2 linked regions of the Rhinolophus ferrumequinum genome follow. The protein of the gene in region 1 binds, or shares a complex with, the protein of each later gene. Links are inferred from orthologs where the notes say so. Each region holds a gene or a part of one and is shown on either strand. Other genes may lie near its edges.

Region 1 (10,102 bases):
GGAACCACTTTGAGCACCTCTTGTAATTGCAGAAGTCAGACGTGACTTGTATTCATCTTTTGTTATCGGTATCTATTGAGCATTACAATTTGAATAGTTTTTCCTTTCTTAAAATGTGTATACATTTTTTGACAGCCTCTGTATTTATCTAAAATGAAACTTGACTACCATAAATGGAAAATCAGTATCACCAGCCATAAATAGAAATCAGTATACATTAAAATAAACACTTAATATGGGGCCGGCCCAGTGGCTCAGGCGGTTGGAGCTCTGTGCTTCTAACGCTGAAGGCTGCCTGTTCAATTCCCACATGGGCCAATGGGTTCTCAACCACAAGGTTGCCGGCTCGACTCCTCGACCCCTCGACCCCTCAACCACAAGGTTGCCAGTTCGACTCCTCAACCCCCGCAAGGGATGGTGGGCTGTGCCCCCTGCAACTAACAACAACTGGACCTGGAACTGAGCTGCGCCCTCTACAACTACGATTGAAAGTTCAACAATTTGACTTGGAAAAAGTCCTGGAAGTACACAGTGTTTCCCAATAAAGTCCTGTTCCCCTTCCCCAATAAAATTTTTTAAATAAATAAATAAACACATAATATGATACAAAAATTCACATTTGTAAACGTCCATTCATTACCCCCTAAAATCACTCACCCTCATCAATGATACACAGGCCATATTTGGGGAAATGCTGTACTGTGAGACAGAACTTTGGGCTTAGGCCTCTGTTGGTGAGCTAGAAGAAGCACAATTTTCTTAATTGGCCAGTCTATTGATGAAAATGTAATGGGTACCTCTTATGTGGCAAGCCCTGATCTAACGCTGGGGACACAGAAGATTCCCGTCCACTTCATCCTGCCCTCTGACAGAGGTGGGTGCCGCTCTGGCGGAGCACTCTTTTACAGGAAGCCATAATGCTTGTCTTTACTTTAGCTCACTGATCAGTAATGTCTGACTCCAACACTAACACTAACAACACAAAACAGCAATACTTGCCAGGAAGTAGCGTCTCAAAATCACCACCATTACTCACTTACCAAGTTAACGAAGTCTAGTTAAAACTGTTAAAAATATGGGGTAGATCTCCATGTATTGACATGGAAAAATGTCACAGACATAACAGGGTAAGAAGTTACAAAACAGAATGTAGAATATAAGCCTATTTGCATTTCAATATGTATATATAGGGGATTCTTTTAAGCCGGGCTCTGTGCAAAGCCTTTATTTGCATAGTTTCATGTAATTCTCATAATAATTCTATGAAGTAAGTGCTATTATTATCCCCATTTTGCAGAGGCAAAAACTGAGGCTCAAACGGGGTAAAGCGATTTGTCTGAGGCCTCATAACAAACAAATAAGTGGTGGAGTGGCAATTTGAGCCTTGTTCTGCCTGTCTCCAGAGACTAGGTTCTTAACCGCTAGGCTTTTCAGTAGCCATACATAAGAAATTCTGGAAGGACGCTCACCAAATTGTTCATAGTGAGCATATCCCAGAAGTAAGATTGGAGGGAGCTGCATTTCTTGTATTTCTTTATATGCCTCTATACTGTTTGAAGTTTTAAAAACAACTGTGTGCTAATTTTGTACTTGAAAAGCAAAAAACAATAAAACCACCACCAATGCAAACACTGCCAGAAGAGGATCATTTGAGGAGGATCAATAGCCTGCCCTTCCATTCCTCTCCTTGTCTCAAGAACTGTAACCATGGAAGAGGTACTACTGGAAAAAGGTTCTGCGACCAAGGAAGTTTGGGAAACATTGGGTTAGATAAAATCAATCTGGCTCCTTCTGAAGGGACTTTCAGAGCTTTCACAAGCTTGACTGTGAAGTTAATACAAGACAGTTTGTAGCTGAGGCCATGTTGATTTGGCCCGAGAACCTTTTCTTTCCAGGCACCTCTGGAAATAACATTCTTTAGAGCAAGCATTGGAAATGCAACTCCAGATGCTTTAAAACCAACACTGAACTTGGTTGTTAGAGAAGGCCACATCCCTGGATATTGTTGTGGTCCTACGTGTCCCCATGCCCCCCATACACTCAGCTTCTCTGAGCATTGCTTTCACTGAATGAAGCTTGGCCTTGAAGCCATCAGCTTGTGGGTGTGTGTATGGATTTGTGGGGTCCAGTGTGTGTTGTATGTGTAGACCCTGCCTCTGCCTCTGAACATACATGCAAACACACACAGACACACACACACACACACACACACACACATTTTCCACTGACAATATGTATGGTGTTTGGGATAGGGTGTGTATGTGTGCGTGTGTATACCCTGCTTCCCCAAAAATAAGACCTAGCCGGACCATCAGCTCTAATGCGTCTCTTGGAGCAAAAATTAATATAAGACCTGGTATTATATATTATACTATATTACATTATATTATATTATATTATATTATATTATATTATACTATACTATAAAGACCCGCTCTTATTTTACTATAAGTATAGTAAAATATAAATATAGTAAAATAAGACCGAGTCTTATATTAATTTTTGCTCCAAAAGATGCATTAGAGCTGATTGCCCAGCTGGGTCGGTCTTATTTTCGGGGAAACATGGTAACTGTGTGTGGGACCCTCCTTTAAGGTAGATCTGTGGCCCGGTCTAGAATTCTCACACCCATTATACACAGGAAACAAGCTAATTTGCAAAGCCACAGCACAAGTGTGAGGGAATGGGTGGTTCACTGGCCTCCCAAAGCGCTGAGTAGGAGTAATTCTGGGTGTGGACAGTCCTCCGTTTGGTAAACTACTTGCAGGAGGAGAGAGTGTCAAACCTCTGTCAAGCAACTACTATGTGTCAGAAAGATTCCTGGGTCCCCTGACTTAAGCCTGTTCATCACCCTGCTCCATGGGGGTCACAGCCTAGACCATTACAGGGCACATCACAGTCATTATTATCTCTTTGATTACCCACAAGCACTCTGTAAGAGAGAAATTCATTATTGCTTCTATACAGATAAGTAAACTGGAGTTCGGGGAGGTGAAGCCACTCGTTCAAGGAAATAGCAGAACTGGAATAGTACCTTAGCCTGCCCGACTCTGAAACGCATGCTCTTTGCATTGACTCTTGCATTTGATCTTGCTTGCAGGTCTCTGACCTCATGGTACCCAAAGAACAGAACCCAGGGACAGTGACCTTGGCTTCATGTCCTGGGAACTTTCCAAAATGGACCTTTGTCCTTCTCAGAACTGCGCTGACTCTTCCAGGAAGCCTTCCAGGTAACCTAAGGGATGGCTTCTCCCAACCTCTAATGCTCAGCCTGTCTTCGTGCCCATCACTTGGCCCTTTTACCCTTTGAGAAGAACCACTCTCCCTGAGCCCCAAGGATGAGGAGCCCTGAGTCATCTACAAGCATAGGCTGGATGGGGGTAGGGGGCCTGCTCATGCCTGTTCAGGGTGTGGATGAGCCCCCCTGAAGTGCAGGAAGAGCCAGCGTGTTCCTCAGCCCCCACAAAAGTCTGCAGGCCTTGGAGCTGGGGACAGGAGAAGGCTGGGACGTGCTGACTAGGTGGAAATTGTGTGTCAAGAAAAACTCCAATGGCAGGGGAAACCTGGAAAGTCTGGTGCAGGTGGGGACTCTCCCCATAAACTGAAGGCTGAGAGTTGCACAGTGAGGGGGTGGGCAGGTAGCTGACTATGCTTTCCTGGGGTTTGAAGCAGGAATAATCCGCAGGACCAACTGGCCCTACACATGTAGGAGCTGTGTGTGTGGCTGCAGCAGGAGTGAGCGAGGGGAGAGGGGAGGACATCCTGCGACACTTGGCAGGGGTAGGGATGGCAGCTTTCCAGATGGGAGCTCAGACGGTCCTCGCCCAGGGCCAACTGCATCCCTGTCCTGGATAAAAATAGCCCTTCCTCTCACCTTCTCCCCTCATTCTCTCCCCTCCGACTTCCCAGCTTCCGGTCAGATACTTCCGCCCTGGAGGCCCCATTCCAGATGATAAATGTGCCCTCGCATTTCCATCTGCTCCAAACGGGAGACACCTCCCTCTCCCAAGCAGTGCTGGTCACTGAGGCTAAAATCACTTCACACGTGTCCATTTGGATGGTCTGGGTGACTCTGATCTCTTTCAGGAGATTTTTGTCCCTGGGCTCTGACCCAGCAACCAGAAGGATTCCTGGATCCCCTGACTCAAGCCTTTTCCTCTCCCTGCTCCATGGTGGAGTGGGGGTCATAGCCTACACCATCACCCTTTCCCAGGGCTCTGCCACTGCCTTGCTGAGGGACAGCAGGGAGGGAGTGCCTTTGCCCTCTCTGGGACTCAGGAGGCTCATCCACCATGGGATGAGGGACTGGACTTGGGGATTTCTGAAGGCTTTGTCAATACCCGACAGGCCATGTGCCAGATATCCCAGTGAGGTGGAGGTGGATGGCCGGCCCTGTGGCAGAACCAAGAGCCAACAGCTACAGAGGAAAGAATTGATCTGGCTGCACTGCATGCCTCCTACCTGACCTCCAGCAAGTTTCTTCTGTGCCCCCAACCCCAAGACTGAAGGGCTGCTGCATACCCAAGGAGCCTGGCCCCGTGCCCAGCTGCAGCCCCCTGCCATCAGGCCCCCACCAGCCCCATGGACCTCTGTCCCGGTACTCCTTACCTGCCCAGCCCAGGAGCCCTCTGGCCCCATTCACATGGTCCTCCTGGCCCAGCCTGGCTGCCCAGACAGAGTTTCAGCTCCCCTCACCGTCGTAGCCACCACCTGACTCCTCGCGCCCACGTCCCACCCTGACTTCCTGCCTCCTCCTGAGGGCTCCGCAGTCAACCGGGCCCCAGCAGCCCAACCACAAGCCTCTAGCACCCCAAGCTTCCTGCCACCATAGCCCCCCAACCCTCAGTCTCTGGGGGTCCTGTACGTCTCCAGGCCAGGCCCTGCTCACCCTGAGGGTGGTACTTGGAGGTGAAGGGAGGATATTTGATGGAACCTCCCTCCTGCCCTCCAGGATACACCTGGACAAAAGATTCAAGGGCAGCCTTTAAACCCCAATGAGCAAGGGCACGCAGACACACCCTCAGCTGTCAGTGAAAGGCAAGAAGCACTGTTGTCACAGTCTGCGAGCTGAAGGACCCTTTCATTACAGTCTGAGGGCAAAGGTAACATCATTTCAGGGGCAAAGGGGAGGACAATACCTCTGTTAAGTAGTTGGAGAGCAGAACACCCACGTTTCAAACATCAAGCTAACATGGCTGCTATAGTCGGAATAATAGCCATGTCATCTCAGGGCACAGGACAACAGCTTTATTATTGTCAGAGGGTAGGCTAACACTCCTGTTATAGACAGAATGCAGGACAACAAGCTGTTTAAGGAAGAAGGCAGGATAACGCTGTGTCTTTAAGAGGACAGGACGACACCCACTAATGATGGTTGGAGAGTTGGGGAACAATTCTAATTCAGGTAGTGGCAAGGCCACCAACCCTATTAGAGGTGCAGAGCCTGGCACCACCTCCCGCAACAGGTGGAAGCTAGAACAAACACTCCTTCTCAAGCACCCAGATGCAAGCAGCAGACTGGCAGCATTTTCTGTTACAGGCAGGAACCTTGTCACAGCAGCAAGCAGGCCAAGAATCTCCCTTTACCCGGAGGCCACACTGAGGGTGGCACCCATCATAGTCTGAGGGCCAGGTCATCAGTGTTATGAGGAGCTCCAGGTGGCCTTTATCAGGCCCAAGAGCTGGGCCTTGACCCCACCCAGAGGAAAGTATAAACACGTCACCACTGCCTGAGCCTACACTGAGTGAGCAGTTTGGGGGAAGGGAGCCCACAGAGCATTGTTGGGGTTTGTGAGGTGGAAGCTGATGCTGTGTGCACCTCAGCTGCAGAGGGAAGGGGGAGACAGGAAGTGGGTGGGGGGAAGAGGAAGCCTGAGTTGGAAAGTCAGACAAAGAGGGTAACACAGAAACAAAGACTGAGAGATACAAAGTGAAAAAAAACACAAAACCCAACTACAGTGACACAGAGCCCATAGTCTGGGCTGCAGGCGTCAGCAACCCTAGCTATGAACCTGAGCATGGCACAGGCCATCTCTGGGTTCAGCACAATAGTAATAACACCACTGCTGATAGTAAGGATAAGCAACAGATAGTTCACATTTACTGAGTGCTTACTGTGCATTCTCCCACTTACGAAACATCCACCTACTTGGGGAGTGAGAATTAGCACTGCCATTTTAGAGGTAAAGGAAATGATTCAGGAATTAAGGGACCTTCTCAAATCTGATAGAAACAAATGGGGGAGCTGCCTTTGAGTCCAGTTCTACCGGATTCTGCATTCTTCAGCTGCCCACGTACCCAAGTCACCTTCCATGGACGTGATTTAGGATTTTAAGTTTTTCCCCAGTTCTGATCTTGATAAGATAGAGCCATAGAGCTGGAGCTGTGGGGGAAATGAGGATCCATCAGTTCATTTCCACCCCAACCCAGGTCTTCTCTCTTGCAACGGAATCCCTGGTCCCAGCAACAGATAACACTTGACGACCTTGAACCTGAATAATGGCTGCGGAGACCTTGATGGGAAGCAGAGAGGGCATTTATTGAGGAGCCTGGTGGGTGTCTGTGAGCTCCTCCCCTAACACACACACACACACACACACACACACAACTGGGGCAGCAGCAGGGACAGGATGCTCTCAGAGCCCAGTGTGTACCCATCAACCCTCCTCCCTCACCAGGTGCTGGCGCCTCTGGGGCACCCCTTGCTTCCCCCTTTCCAGGTGGGCTGAGGAAGAGGTAGTGGGTGGCCCAGGAGGCATACAGGCACCCCTCAGCAGAGGGTGAAGCGCCGAGCACTGAGGTTCATGCGTGTGAGGCCGAGGTGCCGCAGCGGTGGGGGCAGGGCCAGGCCGGCCCCTGGCTCCAGCTCCAGCTCCAGCTGGGCCTCATCCAGCAGCTCTTGGTGCAGGTGACAGGCTTGGTCCACCTTCAGCCGGTGCAGCTGGGCCCGCAGGTGAAGCAGTTGCCCGGCCAGCTGCTGGTCCTGAGCCTGCATCTCCTGCTGTGGCAGAGAGGGGGCCTTTAGCCTGCTGCACCAGCGCTCAGCTGCTAGCCCTGTTCTTCCCTTCCTGTCAACACCCTGGGGCCTTGCACTGGATGTGTCCTCCACACCCCCTCTCACCCCAGCTTGATCCTCCCCTCTCTCTGCTCTTGCTCCATACCGATGGTTCTAAAACTAAGACAAGGAGCCATTGTTAAACACGTTCCTGGGGCCCCATCCCAGATAACTAAGTGGAATCTCCAATATGGAGCCTGGACATCTTTATATTTGTACATGTTAGGGTAAAAACCACCTATTTCATCTTTGCCTCCTCAGATTCTGTCTACAGCATGGTACTGACCATGCTCATTTTGTACTGACCTCATTTTGTACTTCACAGTGTCTTTGGGATATAGCAAATTCCCAGAGTAGGGGAGGCCATGCCTTTCCCATCTATACTGTCTCCTGAGCCAAAGAAGCACAAGGTCAGCAGACTGAATGGAATCCTTCAGCAAGGCTCCTGAATAAAACACTGAACAAATCCATTCCTGCTCCTCAGCCCCCAGACACAGCCATAGGAGTGGGCAGTTGCTGGAGGTGGGGTCCATTCTCATCTTTGCCCCTCACCTGTGGTCTTGGGCCCTTAGAAGTGCTATCCCAAGGCCCTCTGCAAGGCTGCCCACCCCACCAGACTCACCAGCTCTCGTCGGAGCCACTCAAGGGCAGAATCCACTGAGTCAAAGCCGCAGATGGCCCCAGGTCCCCCCAGCCCAGATCTGGCTTGGGCCCTCCGCCAGGCCTGGCTCTGGACCCGGGCTGTCCACTCCAGATATGAGGGCCGCCGTGTCTGCAGCTGCAGCTTAGCCGTCAGCGCCTTCACAGAGTCTAGGCTCTCTTCCTCCTCATCCTCCTTTTCTTCACCCACTGCCTGGAATTTCAGTGGCCCCAAGGACATGGTGGGTTTGGGGTAAGTGACAAAAGGCTACAGCTCTGGAATTAGGGAAAGCCTGGCAATATTGTTCAGGGAGAAGTGGCAAAAGCTGAAAGAAGTGTGCCAGGGAGTGTGTGTGTGTGATAGTGAATGCTCAAGGTGGCTGGAAGAGGCTGAGTGTATCAGGGTGGGTGAGTAGATGGGTATGGGAGGCCGAGTGTGCAAGGGCTGGGATTTTCCTGGACTGTAACCCTGGAGCCACGTGATGCCCATCTGGGTGGTGACAGGAGGAGCCCTGATCCTCTAGCCCCTTGGATGAATTTTATTGTCTTTGCCCAGAAGGAGACACCCAGTTCCCAGAAAGGAAGTTGCTGCAGGATAAGAAAAGCATCATCCACACCAGAGTCTTGGCCCTTTTCCCAACACCCAAGTAAGGGAGTGGGGGAGGGGATAGAAGGCTGACAAGCTGGCCCCATCGTCACTCATGGCATTGGTCCTTCAGCAAAGGAATAGTGGCCAGAGTCCTGGCCTGGGAGTCGGGAGACTTGGGTTCTGGTGCTGGATGTGGGGTCTCGACAAGTCACTGACTCTCTGTTGGGGCAGATCAAAGATTTCAAACTGTACTCTAAGGAACTTCAGGTTCCCTTGGAAATCCCTCAGAGACAGTGCCGGGTGAGGACAGAGCTGTGGATGGGCTCTTAGACCTGCCTCTCCTGGAGGGCCTCTCCCAGGGCTTTAACCAGAGCAGTTCCCTTTTGTAAACTTTGTACTGAAAAATAACATACACACAGAAAAATTCACCTATCATAAGTACACGGCTTGATGAATTCTCCCAAACTGAACACACATATGTAACCAGCACCCAGGTCAAGCAGCAGAGTTCTGTTTTACTAGCATCCAGGCTGGTACAGCCTTTGTGCTCCTGGCCTGTCACTTCTCTCCGAAGAGTAATACTACTCTAATTTCCAACAGCATAGATTAGTTTAGCCTTTAAAAAAAAAAACAAAAACACCTTTCTAGTGGTTATCAATCTGTAGCATGCATTGGAATCACCTAGAACACTTCTTTAAAAATACTGTCAGCCCCACTCCCAGAGTTTCTTATTTAGTATATGTGGGGTCAGGGGTGGGCCTCATAATTTGCACTTCTAACCAATTCCCATCCCGGCTGGTGCTGCTGGTCTGGAATTTTACAGTTTGTACTCTATTATCTGGTTCCTTTCATAGAGTAGTTCCAATTTTATGTTTATATTATGAGGGTCCATGTATGATTTTTTTTTTTTGAAAGAAGGGTTTTGCATGCCTCCTTCCCCGCTCCCCAACACACACAAGAGCTTGGAACCTAGTGGACCAGAAGGCCCTTTGAAGGCAGGAGTGGGTCTTCTTCCTCTTATGGTAATCAGCACTTAACACAGCTGTAGACATCAGTGTTTAAGAAATGAAAGAATTAGATGGATGAGTCCTCCAGTAAATCGGTTTAATCTCGTGTAATTTACCAGAACTGAAAACCTTATGAACAGAACCCTCCTCAGTCACCTTTGGGTTCCAACACCAAATATGGAACCCAGCTCAGTGTACCTGCAATTCATATGTGTTCAAAGGATGAAGTGATAGAGCATGGGGCTCCAGAAGGCAGGACTAAATCAGAAGTGGCCCCTATAGAGGGCGCCCTCAGGCAGAGACTTCCAGCTGTGGTAGGGGGAAGGAGCCGACTACACAGCTGCTTGCATTTAAGGTGGACCAAGGGATTTTCCCCCACCAGCCTCAGATATAGGGAGGAAGTAGGCAGTTACGTTTCACGCCCACACTTTCCACCCCTTCCACCAGGTCTAGGAGAAAAGATGGCATTTTTCTCTCCTTTTTAAATCAGCTGGAGTGTCAACATCCCAGTGTAAAAAATAAAAAAAATATTGAGTGCTTCCTGCAAATCAGGCGAGGTCAAGGGCTTAAGCAAGATTATTCTCCCCATTTCACAGATGACAAAATTGAGGTTTCCTTAACAGGCTCTGACTGGCGTCCACGCTAAGAGGTGCTGGCAATAAGAAGGGGAAATTCCTGTGATACTGTTCAATCTCTTCCTTCAAGGGGCCTCCTTAACAGCTGTCTTGCCGGCGTCGCCAGCTGCCCAGCCAGTTCCTGTCCATTTCAGAGCCCGCGCTCTTTCAGCCTGACACTACAGGAGTCTGTCTTTTT
Region 2 (10,811 bases), on another chromosome or scaffold:
CAGAGGACATGCAAGAATTAGAAAACAGAGGATGGCCACTGGCTAGTGCCTCAAAGACAGGCAGGAGCAGAGCTCAAGTGTTTTGGAACTCTAGGCCCAGACTGTAAGTAGGCTTCAAAGAGGTGAATGCCTTGGGAAGAGTGTCAGCATGGACCTGATCCAGAATTTGGCAAGATGATAGCCTGCATCCAGACTTATTTTTCTCTCCCCCAAGCCTGGTCTTTCTTTTTCCTAGATGCCACCTTTGTTGTTTGAGTTCTGCACTGATCTGCCCACTCTAAACTCCCACGACACCCTGTTGACACTCTCTTGGGCATGTCCCACCTTCTACCTATGGAGCAATGAACTGGGTTCTCATCTCACCCTTACCAGCTTGATCTCCTCTAGGACAGAGATGATGGTTCAGCCAGATCTGCCGCTACCGCAGGCCTGGCACCAGCTGCAGCATAGAGAAGGGACTCAGGAGGTGTTTGCTAAACTTAAACCAAATTGAATTGAATGGAGGAGAAGAAATCACTGACTTCTTTCCGTACTCGACATGTTAATTCTGTTACTAAAATGGGTCATTTACCTGTGTGTGCACCCCCCACTCCAATCCCCACCCCGCCATGGGCCATCCTCTCAGCCCTGCCCTCTACAAGGAAGATGACTCTTACAGGCTGCATAGCTCAGGCTCCTTTGCCCTCCAGCTACTAATTGGTGTTGGCCAATGGGGAGCACCCACAAGATATCAGAGAATCAGGGAGAGAGGCTGGGGTATTTTTCCTTACCCTCTTCCTGCTCTGGAAGTATTTTCTGCAAATGGCTGTATTCCCTCTGTTCCCCCTTCCTCTCCCTGCTGATTACAGCTCTTTTCTGGTAGCCCCTTATCCACAGCTCAAATTCTCACTGAGTTCCAGAAATACCATTTTGGCCTTTGTTTCTTCAGGACCCTGCCTGCTGTTGCTAGTGTTAGTCTGCTGCAATGTGCTGGTTCGTTCCCTGTCTATACCTTTCTCTGTGAAAAACCCCCTCTCTGCAGTCTCTTGAACCATCTGAGGCAGACTGTTTCCTGTTGGGCACTGGTCCATGATCAGATGTAGCATTCAGATGGGTGCTGGGGGCTTGGTTCTCCGAAGAGGTTTGGGGGAAAATTTTTTTTAAAAGTCCCCTCCAGTCACTCCATCTGTCCAAAAGAGTAATGACCCAGGGCCTAGCACATGGTACAGGCTTGATAGAATTGTTTAAGCAGGTAAACAGGAAGAAAACATGTCAGGAAGAAGGGTTCCAGGAAAGCAGGGAGGCTGCTCATGGGTGCAGTTGTTTACAAGTTAACTTGGAGCACAGAGGTATTGAGGGAAAGGCTGGGGTGAGAAAATGGGGTAGGGCACCCCTATTATCTGAGAGTGGTTCCCACTGTCCCCGCATCCCAGACTCACTGTGTCTTTGGTGAGCAGAAAGTTAAGGTGTCTCCTAGGGGATACCTCTTCCCTGGGGTCCAAATTCAGCTTAGATGTTTGAGGAAGGCTGGGACATTCCTGACCTTCCCCAGATGTGCTCATTTTTCCTTCCCCACTCCATGATCCTGAGGTCTGTGCAGAGGGCCACCTTCCAGCTCCCTGCGCTGCCTCAACCCACCCCAAGGGCTCAGCTAGGTGAAAGAGGCTATGGGTTTCCAGCTGCTGCTTGCTTTGGTGCTACGGGTTTCCGCTGCCACCCTAGAGAGCTGGCCTTTGATTCCCACACCCTCAGCCTCCCCAGAGACACTCTGCAGCAGTACCGTAGCAGTCGCATCCTGTACACCACAGCCCAGAGAGAGCCTTGGAGGGCTCGCTGGTCCCCGAGGTGTCCTGGCAACTCTCTCTCTCTCTCTCTCTCCCTCCCTCCCTCCCCCCTTGTCTCCCTCCCTGCCTTGTTTTTCTGCTCATATCTGTGCATTTATACATCTATGCCTCCCCAAGCTGATGCCTCTGTCTTCAACTCCCTGCATTTGTCTCTCCTCCTCTGTGCGTCATACACCAGGAGGCAATTCTGGCTCTTCTGGTTTCTCTTGGAATGCCCTTTGCCTCTTTTCCTCTTTCATCTCTCCCTTCTCCAGCTGCCACCAAGCTCTAGTTCCTTTTCTTGCCTGTTAACAGGCATCCAGGCCTCTGGCAGGAATGCAGGCTTTCAACAAGCTTTGATCTAAAGGGAGCCTGCAGAGCACAGTCTGGAGCCGAGGGATGGATACAAGGGAGATGGCTGCAGGGTGGACAAAGGGAAAAGGACAGATTCTGAGAAACAGAGGCCCCAAGGACTGATAATGGGAGGCTGGGAGGGAACGCAGAAGGTAGGGAGAGACCCAGAGCAGCTCATTAAAGTAACAGTTACACTCCACACAATCCACGATCACACACAAAGCCCAGGGGAGTACAAACAAGACAGAGGAAGAGGAAAAGTGAGGAGGAAATTCTGAGACGTAAGCTACATGCACAGCGCAGTAGACCAAAAGAGAGACAGAGACCAAGAGAGCGATGAGACCAAAATGGCAACACACACCCGCATACTCAGAGCCGCCGAAGTCCTTGCTGCCCTCACCCTGGCCCCCCGAGATGGGATGAGGAGTGAGACTAGGGAGAGGAAGAGGGCACAGCCCCACCACAGCGACAGTCTGTGGTCCCACAGGCACTTTTATCTTCTCCCCATGGCCCCCAGTCAGCCCCCTCAAGCCCTGTCATGGGATGTGCCCCCACAACACACACTCTCTCTGCTGCTTACTGGCTTCATATAAACTTCCTAGAGACCATGACCTCTGTAAGGGACCCTTGTGGTTCAGTGGCTGCAACCTCCACCATCCTCTCCTTTGCCTCAGACGCCCACGCTGGGGGAGCTGTGCCCTCCCTCTTCCCTCATCCCCCGAAAGGTGCAGAACAGACTTCAACCTTCGAGCCTTACAAACCCAGGCCCCCATCTGCCCCCTCCCAGCACCCACTTTCATTCATAAAACTTACTTTGTTAAACATTTATTGAGTGTCTAAAATGTGCAAGGCCCTTGGTCTACCCAACTCCCTCACTGCCACCTTACCACTATGGCCAGGATCAGGGCCTAAGGCACTGAGAGGCTTTTTCTGCCTAGAACCGGTTAGTGAGGGGAGTTTTTATTTTGAGGTAGACCTCTTCTATATAAGTGCCCCCAAACTGAGAGAGGGAAATCATCTGGTGAGTTATCTATGACCCTATTCTCTGGGAACTCTCTTATTTGAGGTTAAGAGGGCGGCCATTTTGTATGAACCTACAGAATCTAACACAGCCCGAGAAATTATTTGTCAAAACACGAAACAGCAGTGATCTCCCCTATCAACTTCTACTCTCAGCCCCGCACCTCTAAAAATTTGCCCCACAAGAGTAGGACATTCAGGAGGAGAAATTCCAGCCAGAACAAATTCTTTGAATTAGGGAGAATGGGGCCTTTCTATTTTGAGACATCTCACTGTACCAGAGGAGACCTCTCTCCCAGAATACATCTACAAAGGGAAGACAGAAGATGCCTGGGGAACAGGGCTGCAAGGCCATGGAGGTCTTAGAGAGCTAAGGACGAAGGCTGTGGAGTTGTACAGGCTGTCCCATCTTGAGAGGTATCACCTCCTAAGTTGCCCCCACCACGCCTGACCAAGCCCAGGGTAGGGAGGAGGTCTGCAAATCCTTTTCTATCTCCCTAATCTCTTTTTCCAGAGCAGCTAAGACACCTAAAACCAGTTCTCTTAGAACCAATTGTTCCATTGACGTATTTACCTAAAAATACGTATCTATCACATTTACAGCATTTCATACATAAGAGCTCAGTTTCAGTCCTTTTGAGAATGTTAGCTTTCTCATTTTATTAATCATTTTAAAGCTAATTAAAGGGGAAGTGCCTTTAGACATATTGTTCAAAAATCCTAAAAATGCACAGAAGTAGACAAAAATGCACATAAACAGAAAAGACAGTTAATAGAGGCTTCATCAATCATGTGGCTTATGAAATGCTGCAAGTATGATTTCTGGTATGACTTTTTGGTGACTGTGTCATTGGGAAAATTGATTTTGGGAGAATTATCTCTGGACTAGATTCCACTTCTTTTTCTCTTTTTCTTGCTTTTCCCTTTGTTTTCCCCTTTTTTTTGTATAGGCCTCCTCCCTCCTCAATGTTTCGTCATTCTTTCTATTTCTTTCCCACTCCTTCTTTCCTCTTCTTTTCCTCTTTTCCTCTCTTCCTATCTTCATCTCCTCCAGTCCTCATGATTAATTGCCTTCCACTGCCTTTCTCAGCCTGGGGTGGCCTTGAGTCCCCATTTTTTCTGCGATCTTGTAATCCGAGTCAACACCCCTCCGAGGAGCATCTTCTGCTCTGGGCACTGAGCTGTGCCGGCAGGGAGGTGGAGAGGCGCTTGGCATCGGCCCGGCCTCTTGAAGCTCACAGTTCCAGTGGCAGATTGCTGCTCATGGAATGCAAGAGAAAGTGACCAGAGTTGTGGGCAAAGAGCAGGAAGTCCAGCACATTCCAATGCACCTGCTGCCACGTTCTCCTCCCCTTCCCAGGCCCACAGAAAAGAATGAAGCTGAGTCTATCCATCTTACCTCTGGGCCTGTGTCTATCGTCCCCTCTACTTCTGCTTCTGCTTCTCGCACAGGTGTGCCTATGTGAAGGCTGGGAGCTCTGGCACCAGGAGCCCACTGGGGAGAGCGCTTGTTACTCCTGCAGAGACAGGAAGCCCGGTAGTGAGGCTCCTCCAAACCCCAGGCCTGGGCCAGCCCCCAACGTCACCATCTGGGGCTGGGGTCCCCACCCCTTGCCTCTCAGGGAAGATGTCAAAGTGAAAATGTCAAAGTCAAGGGAAAAAGTTAAGCAGAACCAGGCTGGAGCCCAGAGCATCACTGCACTTCTTATTGGGTAGCAAGAAAAAGTGTCACTGCACTTTTTGTTGCGTGGCAAGAAAAAGATTGTGTCAGTGATTCTGCAGTCTGGCCAGGGTTTCAGGGAAACAAGAAGTGGGAGGCAAGTGGAGGGCATATGAGAGCAGTTATGTTAAGACCTCAAGAGCTACTTCCTCCTGGGCCCTAAGGGCACTTGTTCATCACCAGAGGCATTGTAGATGGCCCAGTGTGGCAGAAAGGATCTGGGCTAGAGGAGGATGTCTGAGACACCCAGAATGACAAGGGACCAGACTCTTTTCCTCAGGGCTTTCGTCTCTGGTCAACCCTCAAATTTTTATCTCTAGCCCAGATCTCTCATGAGCTCCAGATATGTCTACCCATCTTCCCACTGGACATCTCCACTTGGATGTTCACCAGACATAGCAAACTCAACACACCCCAAACTAAAGTTATCATCTGCATACTACCCCCCTCTGTTAACCTAAAAATAAAAGGACTTTCAAAGTGAGAGGCAACAAGCATTTATTTGAGATAAAAAGAATAGCTATTCGGGAAGCAATGATTCAGGCAGAAGCCCAAATAATGTTCCAGTTAGGAGACAAAGGCAATGGGTATTTATGAGAAGGGAAAGGAGAACAATTACATTAACAGAAGGAAGGCATTTCTATTGGTGCAGATAACATAACATAGGGATGTTTATTCTAAAGCATCTTTTAATTTTCAGTCCGTTAGCCATCAGTCCAGTAGTCATAATATCTGCTTTCTTCTTATCTTTGCAAACAGTTCTTTGGGAAAAAAATGTTGCTCAGGCTTAGTCCAAAGGTTATTTTGCCCTGTTTTTAACCTTCCACAGGTCTGAGGTATAAGATGTGCAAGGAAGTTCCTCTGGTATAGCAGCTCCAGTTCCATTTTGTTTATTTACATCTTCAATCTTACTTTTCCTTCAAGTCTCCCACTCAGTGAGGGTTTCACCATCCAAGCTGCTCAAGCCAAATAAACTAGGTATAATCTTTGACTCCTTCTTAACCCAGCATCTCCCATGTATTTATTTACCAATTCTGGTGTCTATCACCTTCTAAATAGTTCTGAAGTCTATCTAAGTCAACTGTCCCACTGCCACCATTCCCATCCAAGGTGCCATCATCATCCTTTACCTGGACTATGGCTCCTACCTCCTCACTGGTCTCCTGGCTTCTCCATTCTTCTTCCTCCAGGCCATCTTCTGCACAGTAGCCTGAGTGATCATTTAAATGTGTAAATGTCATCATGCCATTGCCCTACTATGAAAAATAGTGGCGAGTTCATCTTGCAACTCCAACAATTAATACAAGTGTTTCCACTTGAAACAACCATTTGCTTCATTTGCGGCAGAAGTGCTTCTCTCATTTCATAACATTTCATAACAAATGAGAAATGTTATGTCCCATTCCATAACACAATGTACTCAAGGGTTGAAATTTAATAAAATTAATATTTACTGCTTCATCAAGGAAATTCTTAAGTAAAACTGGCATGTTTTTTTCTGTCCTTCCTTTTTTTACTGCAAGTGTCTGGCAGTGAAGAATAAAATGACAATAGTATGGTTTGGCGCCACTGCCTTGATTTGTGCTAAGACAGCAGTCTATCCCAGATTGCTTTTGCAATGTTATTGCAATGTCAACATAGTGACAAAAGCAAATAACATCCCATTATTTTTATAAAAATAGCTGGACCTCCCAAACCCCTTGACAGGGTCTCAGGGACCCCCATGGGCCACACTTTGAGAACTACTAATCTAGAAAATCTTTATTCATTCTTCAGAACTTAACTACCCCTCTGTACAGAACTTTCGTTGTCCCCATAATTTATTTTCTTTTTCTTCCTTAGTAATTCTCTTAATTTTTAGCAGAGCTCATGGCTACCCAGATTTAAGTTATACTTCCCAGCCTCCCTTGCAGCTGGATGTGGCTAACTGAGTCAATTTTGGTTAATGGATGTAAGTGAAAATGTTGGGTGCACCATCTAAGGAGCATCCTTACAGGGAGGGTCTAATTCCCTCATGGGAGGGTGTATGTCCTTCCTCAGGTCTTCAATTCCCTCTTGCAGACTAGAATGCAAACACCCTCCCAATTTTTTACAGGCCACCTGCTTTTCTCATTTACGTTACCTAGCAGGCTCCTATAAGCATTTGAATTTATAATCCCTTATCTACTCTGGTTCTCTCCATTCACTCATACATTCAACAAGTGTTAAGTGTCTATCAGGCCCAAGGTACTCTGCTGGATGCTGGGGATGTTAAGTAAGCTAGACATTGTCAACTGCTCTAGTCCATGACACTTTTACTTAAGAATGTCCTTGATGAAGCTGTAAATATTAATTTTATTAAATATCATACATATAGACACTCACCATTTAATAATTCCATTATGATTGGACAAGTGCTACAAAGGGAGAAGCAGAGTGTTGAGAGAGGTTATCCTAGGGAACCTTATTTCAACTGAGAAAGGCTTCCATGGGAAGTGTATATCAGTAAGCATTGCTACAAATGAAAGAAAATTCAACATGATAGAGGATTGCATGAGACTTGAGTTGATTTCTCAACTGAAAGAAGTCTGGAGGCAGGTGGTTGAGAGGTGAGGGAGGTGAGGGGGCACCACACCACACCCCAGAAGCTGGATTTGTCCTGTTTATATCTTGTTGCTCCCCCATCCTCTACCCATGAACCTTCCTCATAGTCTGAGAAGGCTACTCGAGCTCCTCAGCTGGTATCAGGGTCCCTTATGGTAAAATCTCCCAGTACCCTGCACTGTTTGTCTCCTGGAAACACTAGTCCAAGTGTAATAACTATGGCACTATTGAGTTTTTAGTGTCTGTCTCACAGATTAGAGTAGTGACCATGTCTGCCTTACTTAGCACCCAGCAGGGTGCCTTGGGCCTGGTAGATCCTTAATACTTGTCAAATCTTTGTTTAAAAACATATTAAATTTTATCGATATTTATTGATATTGTTTGTTATGGTAAAATATACATACCATCATAAAATTTACCACTATAACCATTTTTAAGTGCACAGTTCAATGGCATTAAGTATATTCATGTTATGGTACAAACATCATCACCATCCAGCTCCAAAACTTTTCATCTTCTCCAGCTGAAACTCTGTACCTGTTAAACACTAACTTCTCATACCTCCTCCCGCCCCCAGCCCTGGCTGTTGAATACTTTTTGAATGAGTGAAAGAATGAATGAATGAATGAATGAATGAATGAATGAATAGAGAGGGACTGGATTGGATCACAAACTTAAATGCCTACAGGAGCCTGCTAGGTAATATAAATGAGCAAAACAGACTGGTTGTGAACAATAGGGAGAAATGGGGACTGAGATAAGCTAGAGAGTACCTGCCTCATTTCATGAGGGCAGCCACTAACCACACAGCTCCAGCTTTGTACCAGAGGTTGTACCAGAATATGAGCCCAGAGTTGTCAGTTCTGCCAAAATTTTGAGAGAAGATAGAAAACCAGACGTTTATGTAGTATGTCCTAATTTTAATGTTGGCAATTAATTTTGTTGTTTTGTTCTAATACTGGGTAAACCAAACAAAGCATTCCAAGGGCTGTATCTAGCTTAAAGCCCAGCAATTTGCACCTCATGGACCAGACAGACTGTGTGACACCATTCAGCTCTTGGGTCTCTGACCTATGAATGCCTGTGCAGATGGGTTCCCAGGAGTCAACGGGTTTCAAGAACCTGGTTCTCTCCCTGGGATTTCTAAAGAGTTTGTGAAAAGAAAAGAGGAAGAGAGGGCAAGTTTATATTGAATATTTAGAACTGCTGTTTGTTTCATATGGCTGCGTATTTTATTTAATTCTCACAATGATAGGGTACAGGTGTTATGCTCCAGACCGTACAGATAAGGAAACAGAGGCTCAAAGAGTTTAAGAAAATTGCTGAATGTCACAGAAATAGTAACCATAACTGATGGAACTGGGATTTGAACTTTTGCTTGGACCCCATGCCTGGATTATCCCCCTCACCCCACTGCCTCTTCTCTGCATTAAGAAAGGTTAGGATGGGAGGCTGGTTAGCTTAGTTGGTTAGAGTGCGATGCTCGTAACACCAGGGTTGCCTGTTCGATCCCTGCATGGGCCAATGTGAGCTGCGCCTTCCACCACTAGATTGGGACAACTACTTTACTTGGAGCTGATGGGTCCTGGAAAGACACAAAAAATAAATAAATAAAAGTTTAAAAAGAAAGAAAGACAGAAAGACAGAAAGACAGAAAGACAGAAAGACAGACAGAAAGAAAGGCTAGGATGATGACTAAGATGTTTTCTCCCATAACAGTGGAGAGGTAGGAGGCCAACAACCTCATCTGGAGCATCTGAGGCTTAGCATCACCATGATCCCTGATATGTGTAGAGTGATTTTCCATTTTCAAAGCACTTTCATATACATTAGCACATACCACACCTTTTTGGCAAGTATTACTATCCTCATTTTACAGAAGAAGAAACTGAAGTTAATCTGCCCCATGATATGACTGTAAGCATAAAGCATGGGGATTTCTAGAAGTCTTCTGATTCCTGGTTGAGAGATATTTTTGCTGCATGGATTCTGTCTCCAGGCTGGAAGAAGAGGAGAAGGTCAAGTGGGGAGAAAGAAAGGGGAAGCAGAAGGAAGCCAGCATCAAGGCTGACAGAGTGTTGGAGGCCTGCCATTGGGGAAGGGGTAGGGCCACCTGTGGAAGCCTGTGGACGGGAAGTTGGAAGCCCCAGGTGCAGTCCTGTGGTGGCCTCCTTACCAGAAACATCTACAGCTGCACTGACAGCCTTTGCAAGGGGGTTGGGGGAAGGGCTTGAAAATTTGGGAGGTGGGGAGGGGCCACAGAGGCTGTTCTCTGAGAAGCAGAGTCTTGGAGAGCTGACCCACTTCCACCCTGGCCACATTCTCCCTAGCTCCATAACCACTTTCTGCATCTCTCAGAGGGTGGTTCCTGGGCCTCCCGCACTCCATGGGAGCTATGAGCAGGCAAATTTCAGAGCTCAGCCTGGGTTCAGCCAGCTGGCACCTGCAGTCCTTTGGAGAAACTGTCAGCCACAGAGTTGAGCGGATAGAACCCATCCTCATCCCCACCCCAGCCGCATTCCTTTCAAAGGGCGAACTCCATCTTGGGGTGGGCCCAAGCAAGACACCTAAGCTCCTTGCTTACCTCCTTTGTGGGAGGAATTACAACAGGGGCCCAGGTCTGAACTCTAATACCTCTGCCTGGTGAGGGAGGTGGGGCACGGAAATTTTTGGGCCTCCCCTGCACCATATAGATAAAAAGACGAGGTTAAGGGTGGGGGGGACACACTGGCAAATGTGACCACAGGTCTGAATGAGCACAGCATGGCCTCTTGCCTGACCCACTTGACTTGGCAAGGCTCTGGACCTCATTTGGCATCCAGAACTTCTGGAGAGTGGACAATAGAGTAGGCTATCAGGTCCATGGCAGGACTGGGGGTAGAGGTACTCAGAGATACCTCTTCCTCTCTCATGGCCTGTCTCTCTTATGGTGAGTGTTTCCCACTGTGATAGCCATGATGCAAGATGGCCCCCAATGATTCCTGACTCCTTCATTTCACATCCTTATGTTTTCCCCTCCCACAGTGTACCAGCCTTGGTCTGTGTGACCAATAGAATAGGGCAGAAGGGGCAGTATGTCACTTTCCAGATTAGGTTATGAAAGCATGGTAGCTTTTGTCTTGGCCATTCTCTCCTTCTAGGAGAAGCCAGTTGCTATGTCATGAGTGACCCTAAGAAGAGGCCTATGTGGGGGTGGGGCAGAACTCACTAACATCTCTGGCCAGCAGCCACCTAAGGATCCTTCTTGGAAGCAGATCCTTCAGTCCAGCCAAGCCTTCAGCCCTGGCCCACATCTTGGCAGCAACCTCACTAGAGACCCTGCTTCAGAACTA

The links. Proteins that work in one complex are often made in the same cells at the same time.
Region 2: the proteins of LCK (region 1) and CD4 are in contact, whole or in part, in an NMR structure (PDB 1Q68), measured with the Homo sapiens proteins. The link is inferred for Rhinolophus ferrumequinum from reciprocal best matches to the Homo sapiens genes LCK and CD4. Residues at the interface, in NP_001036236.1 of Homo sapiens: Glu15, Ile17, Val19, Cys20, Asn22, Cys23, Tyr25, Pro26, Ile27, Val28; in NP_000607.1 of Homo sapiens: Ala429, Arg431, Ile435, Leu438, Leu439, Lys443, Thr444, Cys445, Gln446, Cys447.

Annotation. Positions count from the first base shown.
Region 1 is NC_046292.1:22,134,160-22,144,261, reverse strand, and holds the start of LCK (tyrosine-protein kinase Lck), read right to left. Parts: upstream 4,735-10,102; 5' UTR 4,609-4,734; intron 1-4,608. Other genes in the region: protein FAM167B, read right to left, coding at 6,770-7,000, 7,677-7,934. UniProt on the Homo sapiens protein: Non-receptor tyrosine-protein kinase that plays an essential role in the selection and maturation of developing T-cells in the thymus and in the function of mature T-cells. Plays a key role in T-cell antigen receptor (TCR)-linked signal transduction pathways.
Region 2 is NC_046293.1:23,978,623-23,989,433, reverse strand, and holds the start of CD4 (T-cell surface glycoprotein CD4), read right to left. Parts: upstream 4,858-10,811; 5' UTR 4,576-4,857; intron 1-4,575. UniProt on the Homo sapiens protein: Integral membrane glycoprotein that plays an essential role in the immune response and serves multiple functions in responses against both external and internal offenses.